2 linked regions of the Arabidopsis thaliana genome follow. The protein of the gene in region 1 interacts with the protein of each later gene in a biochemical or structural test. Each region holds a gene or a part of one and is shown in the gene's direction. Other genes may lie near its edges.

Region 1 (4,439 bases):
GGCAGATGCATTGTACTCAAATCTGGAATGAACACAAGGAGAAACCATTATCAGTATAAAACACAAACTGCACATATAAACCAATAGCTGAGTTTTACGATATGGGAGATATACAAAATGTTTCTACGGACTATTATCGTGATTGCCATTTGAGAACAGTTTCAATCAAAACTAGAATATGTCATCTAACAGTATTTAAAATATAGTTGTAACCATTTGTATCTCAACGTACTAATTTCAGTAGTTATCTCCTAAAAGTGTTAATTCTTTATCTTCTTCCATAAATATAGATATGATTAATAGGTACAAGTGGATCCTCTGGTCTCACCACTAACTAATAGCCAAGTCACTTAAGAAACAGAGCTCACTAAGTTTCAGAGACTAAAAAGACCCACATCAGTTCTCAGTAACACAATACCTGTAGTGTCAATATCAGGAAATGAGATGAAAATAAACAATTCTCATGTGCATGGTATTAGCATTCAAAGAGGAGACATCAAAAACCAAAAATTGCGGTCATAGTTACCTGTTAGAGAGAAGCACTTCAAGTTCATAGTCAGAAGCACTTTTAGTGACATCTACCATGACCTGAACAAGCTCAGTCTTCCTAGTGCTGGCCATGAAGAGATCATATTCCGTGGGAATAATGATAGCGAAGAAGTTATCACTCAATTTGCTTAAACACATCTTCTCTACTGATGACAAAGCAATTCTCCTGGTCATAGCTTCAGTCTCGGGATCAATTAGATAGATCGCAAAATCAGTGAGGATAAAAATACGCCGTTTCATCTTCCCCGAGCCGGTGAACTTCAAAACTTTATCAGCAAAAAGAATCGATGTATCACCTATAACAACAATGAATCACCTTCTCAACATCAAACACATGCAATTCAAGGTGAATCCAATCATTAGCAATCCAAACAACCACATAAGAAACTATAAATCGATGCCACAATTCTACAGCTGATTCAACTATTCCTCCAAGTTCTTCGATTCACAAATTGCCTCTCAATCTCAAATTCATCAAATAAAAACCAAAAGTTTGGAGAAACCTAACCTTGTTTCTCCAGAATTCGCATCAATCCAGGACGAGAAGAAACGTGAAGATAGTCACCACGATGCTCTCTATAGCGAGACGCTTTCCTTCTGACTTTACCTCCAGCGAATGGCGTGTGATCTCCTCCGTCTACCTCACCCACACTTCGATCTTCATCAAAATCAGGTGGAGGTGATTCTTCGCCGTCGAACTTCGGCCCCTTTTGCTCCTTCAACCGGTTCATTCCTCCCGGCGACGAACTCGAAATCGGAATCGGTTAGCTTATTCTCAGATTCTGCGTTAGAAAAATCTCCAAAGTGAGAGAGAAGACGTGGCTTCAAATGATTCGATCGATTAAAAGATACAAATCTCAGCCGTTAGATTATATGACTTCATCGCAACGCGTTTCGATGCCACTTGATTTGAAATTTATAATAAACTCGCAGCCGTTAGATTTCAATACCACTTGATTTAAGGATAGGATATCAACCGTTAGATTAGATGACTTTTTAAGACGATGTCGTTTCAATGCAACTTGATGTTTTAATTAAGAAGCGCCGCGTCGTTTCAAGGTCCACCGAATAATAAGAGGGTTAAAAGTAGAGTCCACTAGTCAAAGAAAGTAAATAATCCACACGGTATTTATTGTAGACGTGAGCACAGAGAATAATTCGTATTCTTCGTCTTTCGTCCACCACCATCTCTATTTTCTTCCTTTCCCCTAAGTCTTGGTTCTTCTTCTCTCTAATACGAGAAGAAAAAGGCGAAAACCTCGCCAATCCGATTACGCGAAAAATCAAAGGTATTGTCTCTGTAGCTTTTGGATCTATTACTTATATTTCTCACGGATTTATAGCTTCTCTGATTCGTTTAGAATCTTTGTTTGATTTTTGATTTTTAGGTTTTTGGATATGGCGTCGAAGCGGATCTTGAAGGAATTGAAGGATCTCCAGAAGGATCCACCTACATCATGTAGCGCAGGTACTTGTTTCGTGTTTGGATTTTGAGATTTCATCTTAAAAAGTTTTGTTTCCCTGAGCTGGTGTTGATAGATCCGGTTTTTTTGTTCGCTTATGCTTGGATTTGTTTGGATTTGTGTGTTTATGTGTTGTTTGGTACCGATCTCGAGCTAAGTACTCGTTTTACTTTTTAAGATCTGGCTAGAACTAAATTTGGTTTATCTCGTTTCTGATTTCTCTGGTGAAGATCTTATAAAGGCTTAAAACTCGTTTCATTGTCTTAGTTTCTGGGGTCTGGTTATACTTGTGAAGAAAAAACTGTCTCTTTGTTTCCTTGTGCTTATGTGGTGTGAGATTGAGTTTATCTTTCTGTGTACAGGTCCTGTTGCTGAAGACATGTTTCACTGGCAGGCAACGATAATGGGTCCTTCAGAGAGTCCTTATGCTGGAGGTGTTTTCCTTGTAACCATCCATTTCCCTCCGGATTACCCATTCAAGCCTCCTAAGGTGATTCCAATATTTTGAGAATTGTTATCAAGTATGTTTTGCCAAAGCTCGTATGTTCTTTATGGTTGCTTCATTATCTCATTGTTCTTCATTATGGTGTGTGTGATGATATCTAGGTGGCCTTTAGGACCAAGGTGTTCCATCCCAACATTAACAGCAACGGTAGCATTTGCCTCGACATCTTGAAGGAGCAGTGGAGTCCTGCGCTCACCATTTCCAAGGTTCGGTTTCTCTTATTCTTTTGTTAACAATAGAAACCCACCTTAAAACAAATACTCTCTATTAAAACTGCTTCAGAGGCAGTAATCTACTCTTATCAAACATGCTTTTGCTCCTTAATCCCTAGTTGAAGTGATAAGATTGAGCTGTCTTCATTAAACTTTGACTCATTTCGGTTGTCTCTGAAACATTAAGCTTATTAGACTCATTGAGGATGAAAAATTGTTGTTTGTTATCGATCAGTTCTAACAACTGCTTTGCAATTAACAGGTGCTGCTATCGATCTGTTCTTTGTTAACCGATCCAAACCCGGATGATCCTTTGGTGCCCGAGATAGCTCACATGTACAAGACTGACAAGAACAAGTACGAGTCCACTGCACGAAGCTGGACTCAGAAGTATGCCATGGGCTAAATGGAAAATCCCACCTACTAAATTATCTCTTTATGAAGAAAAAAATCTGCCTTAATTTCTATGTATGATTCGATAGACATCTCTTTGTGTCCTTTTAACTTTCTGAAGACAGGACCAAATGAAGTGGGTCTTGTTTTAAACGAAACAAAAAAAAACATCATCTTTGTGAAAACTAGAATCTGATCATCTTCTGTTGTTTCTTCTTGTGGTGAAATTATGATTTGATGTTTTCGTTGTGTGATGAGTTGCTACGAGTTGTTCAAATTTATCAAACTAGTCTTCAAACTTATCCAACTGGTCTTCAAACTTATCCAACTGGTCTTCAAATTTACTCTGAGTTAATCGTTGTGGCCAATGCCCGTCATGGTGACAATGCGTTCTGTTGTAGCACGTATGTTGTAGAAAATGAGTTTTGTACCTTGCAAGGTGCGCCTGTGGATTGTGGACTACATACGTGATGCAACAAACATTTTAAGTATGCAATAATATCACAAACAATCCTATATCCATTAAACGACATGTATTATGCATGTTTGAACTCAAGTAGTAACTCAGCAATGATTCACTAGTACAAAACCACTAAACACCCTATTTTGTTTATAAGTTATAACAGTTTTCTTATTCGTATCATCCATCATATCATGAGTTTGACGAAAACATGTTATTTGGTGAAGTCAAATTATTTGACAATACAGTATTTAATAAAATAATAAATAGCCTGATTATGTGGAATGTGAGTGGTATAGAATCAACAGAAAAAAAAAAAAGAGTGGTATAGAATCTAATACTACAGATAATCTATAGATGAATGGGTATGGACTGAACTCAAGTTATGTAGATGGGCTTCGATGGACCAAAGATCCATCGCTCGTCCGAGCTTAAAGTATCACCCCTAACAAATTATCTTTACAAGTCCACAGGTAAGAGAAAAATACATTTAATAGTGTTGTGCTATTAGAATATTTTTGAATTTCTCTTCTCTATAAGAAAATACAGTATGTTACTATCTTTTTTTCAAAATTTATCATTATCCCACGGATCAGTGTATTAGAAGAGTATCAGTTTGAACTTAGAAATGATAACCAACAGGCAAAACTTACTCTAGTTAAGAGCAAAAGACCAAATTAAACATCTGCTTTAAGTTTAACAAAATAAGAAATCATAGGGACTATAGGTTTGATTTAGATATCCATGAAACTTGTAGGCTAAGAACTCTAGACATTCAAACGCAAAATTCAAACAATTGGTGTCGACTGAAAGAAATAAAATAAAAATCAGTGTTCCATGTTTTTTGGTTTAGTTAA
Region 2 (3,525 bases), on another chromosome or scaffold:
AATCTATATGCCTCAAAACCGATCCACACGCATAAGTCATCAAAATAGCAATTACCATGAACAAGACAAAAAAGATAAAAAGATATTAGTAAGAACTATGAACAAATAGATATTTACTTGACAGAAAGAAATTATTAAGTAGGGAGAATGATCAAATAAATATTTACTTTACAGATATTTAGTAGGAAGAATGACCAAAAAGATATTTTATAGATATTTAGCAGGAACTAAGAACAAATATATATTTAATCAAAAGTTCACCAAAAGATGAACACTGAGAAATGGCGCCAAAGAGTAAATGATTAAAGAATAGGTTCCACCAAAGAAAGTCAATAATGGTACATAAATGATTAAAAGACAGGACTAAAGCTCTGTGTTTCAGTATTTCAACTTTCTAGCCAAAGAGAACTATAATTAAAATGTTTCTGAAACTTTTCTTATGGCTCTTAACACCCACTGGATCCAAAACCATTTCCAAATCATAAATGCATCCAGCAAAAATGTTCTCAGAAATATTTCAAATTCTCACCAAGTTGCGTTATTTCACCTTAAGTCGTGTCGTGTGATTTCACCTCGATATGTTGGTAACATTTCACTTCCATCATTCAAAAAAAAAAACGGTGAATGACCAATTTTAGTTTGGATGATCTTTCTGTCTGTTCAGATTTCTCATCTTCATCCATGTTACCCCTGCAGTTTTAAAGTGAATGAGTATCAAATTAAGATATTCCCAACAAACGAATCATTATAGCATATAACACAACAAAAGTAAAGTTTATTTGCTTTAAAGAAGGTACCAAGAAAACAGACCACTATATATATTTGTACCAGTTATATGTAACCTAATGGCACAGACAAAAGAAAAAAGGAATCCATTTCCGAGTGAGACTGGTGAGAAAAGATAGAAAAGATGCATCTCCTACTGTGTAACATCAACTTTTTATCCCAAAGATACACAATCTTCCCTAATCTAATGTTTCACTAAACCAGCTATTAGGAAAGTAGCAAGAAACAATGTTATACAAAAGCACATATCAAAGAATCTTGCTTTGATTTTGGAGCTACAAGAAAAACATTAGATACTAGATTCATGTAGATTTCCCTCGCAATTTGCAACCAATGGAAGAAGATATCTCATAAAGCAAACAAAAAGAATCATTTTTTATTCGTTCATCCGTGGGACCAATTCCTTTACCTCTGATTTAAAACAAAGGCATGTAAAGATAAAGAGAGAGAGAGAAACTGTTTACTGAAAAAAAAGCAGGAGGTGGATACTAATGCTATGAGAGTGATAAAAGTAGCCTTTAACAAGATTGATTGGGAGAGGCTTTGTCCTTTTGGCTACTCTATGGACAACTTGAGTTACTACGAATGGGGTGGATTCCTGTTCCCCAAACATAAGTAGAGTTCACTAAATGGAAATATTTCATCCGTACACTCTCAAAACCGCACAAAATCAACAAAACTTTTAAGATTCCACCACTGTTAAAAAATAGCAAAAAGGGAAAGAAAAGAAAAGTTAAATCAAACCTTGCTTTATATATGAGAAACTCCTTTACAGGTTAGACACATATGTGATATATCACTGGGTCAGAACTATCTACCGAAACTCGGTTTTCATCAAGACCATAAGTAGAAAACATATATTATAAGCCCTAACAGGCTAATATCAAGGAACAGTGAGATATCAGTAAAATGAGCCAGGAGATATTAATATTTGAATGCTGCTATATCAAAGATAGGGAAAGTTCATGGCTGCTCCAGTTAAAAAGCTCATGGGTCCCTAGAAGCAATTCTGGGAGATATGATTTGCTAAGGCCACAGCCACATGGCACTACTATTGCAGCAACTGGTATGATGGACCCATTTTATATAACAAAGCATATTACGCTGCAAATGATTTTATAAAATTAGACACTAAAGGTAAAGGTCCATAATGTGAGCTTGATCTTTATAGCTTCTTATTCATCCAACCATAAGTTTTTCTAAATGAAATATATAAAAAAAAATTCCTCATTAAATATCTGAAAAAAAATTGAAACTTTACCTTTCCTCTATATAAACAATTAGCCTCCAAACCTTTACTCTATATAAACAACCTCCAACGGAAACACAGAAAGCCACCAATCTATCTTAAAACTAAGTTATCATGTGCACTACCATTTCCATTTCCATTTCCACCATAAAACCAACTGAGATCTTTCAAGAAATTCTTGGAAGTTCTTACTCAAGAAAATTACTATTTCATACCCATGATCAATCACCAACTCCAGCACCATCCCCATATGTAGGCGATAACAACTTTGATGCAAATGTTGTTATGGTCCTATCAGTCCTCTTATGTGCACTTGTTTGCTCACTTGGACTCAATTCTATAATAAGATGTGCCTTGAGGTGCTCCAATTTAGTACCATCTGAAGCTGGTGGTGACAACTATCCTGTTCGCTTGACCAACACAGGAGTCAAACGAAAAGCCTTGAAGAGTTTCCAGACAGTAAGTTACTCTACTGAACTAAATCTGCCTGGCTTAGATACCGAGTGTGCTATCTGTCTCTCGGAATTTGTAGCCGAGGAACGTGTGAAGCTGTTGCCGACATGCCACCATGGATTCCATGTCCGTTGTATAGACAAGTGGCTTAGTTCACACTCGTCCTGTCCCACCTGCAGGCACTGCCTCATCCAGACATGCGAGAAGATTGCCGACTGCAGCCAAACAAGCTCGTTAAACTCTACTCAACCACCACAAGACAGCATCATTCTCCAAATAGCACCACTAGAACCGGAAAGATGGATACGCTGGTTTAGGTGAACTAGAACTAGTCACCTAGATATTTGTAGCAGCTATGATTAAACTACTATGTTTTAGAATTATTTGAGATTACAAGCGGTCTACACTTAAAAACAAGTTTAGCATTTCAACTGTAAAGTTGTAAATATTACGAGAATGTTACTTTCTTCATATCTTGAACTACTAAATGTTTATATTTCACAGTTACAAGCCAATAAAGGAAAATTTCATTAGATCTGCAAATACTCACACTGGAAAACAAAACATAAACAATTCAAAAATCAAATGTACAGGATGATGAGAAGGAAAATCACTGAAAGGCTTAAAGCAATAGTTTAGTGGAGGTGGCCAATACACTTAGTCAACTAAAGAGAGATGTCATAATCTTTACCATTATGAAGTTTCAAGGTTATTAAAGTCAGGCTCTGCCACTAGCTTATTTTACTGATTATCATAAGGGTTACTACACTTTTATATAAATCATACAATAACATAATGTACCCTTCCAGAGGTAGAAGAGTCTTCTTGCTTTGTTATTGAACAAATTAAGTTGTAGGCTGTGACAATGCGAAGCCCCGGAGAAAAATGTCAAGGCCCACAAATGAGAGAAACATGCAATAATATAATCCATCGAAAGGAGAACAAGAGAGAGAGGTCACCACCATAAGAAACAGCACAAAGCGAATGGGGTCCGAGGACGAATCCCACCATATGGTCAAATCAAATAATACTAAAAG

Evidence for each region.
Region 2: the proteins of UBC10 (region 1) and AT1G49230 form a complex in vitro, tested with the Arabidopsis thaliana proteins (one study listed by BioGRID).

Annotation. Positions count from the first base shown.
Region 1 is NC_003076.8:21,631,498-21,635,936, reverse strand, and holds UBC10 (ubiquitin-conjugating enzyme 10), read left to right. Parts: upstream 1-1,689; 5' UTR 1,690-1,838; intron 1,839-1,910; exon of another isoform or gene 1,911-1,937; 5' UTR 1,938-1,947; coding exon 1,948-2,017; intron 2,018-2,374; coding exon 2,375-2,502; intron 2,503-2,618; coding exon 2,619-2,723; coding exon of another isoform or gene 2,724-2,750; exon of another isoform or gene 2,751-2,991; coding exon 2,992-3,135; 3' UTR 3,136-3,370; exon of another isoform or gene 3,371-3,489; intron 3,490-3,890; 3' UTR 3,891-3,916; downstream 3,917-4,439. Other genes in the region: AT5G53310 (myosin heavy chain-like protein), read right to left, coding at 1-22, 527-845, 1,058-1,280. UniProt on the Arabidopsis thaliana protein: Accepts the ubiquitin from the E1 complex and catalyzes its covalent attachment to other proteins. Mediates the selective degradation of short-lived and abnormal proteins.
Region 2 is NC_003070.9:18,207,171-18,210,695, forward strand, and holds AT1G49230 (RING/U-box superfamily protein), read left to right. Parts: upstream 1-2,023; 5' UTR 2,024-2,149; coding exon 2,150-2,809; 3' UTR 2,810-3,007; downstream 3,008-3,525. Other genes in the region: AT1G49225 (uncharacterized protein), read right to left, coding at 620-690, 1,448-1,482, 1,975-1,977.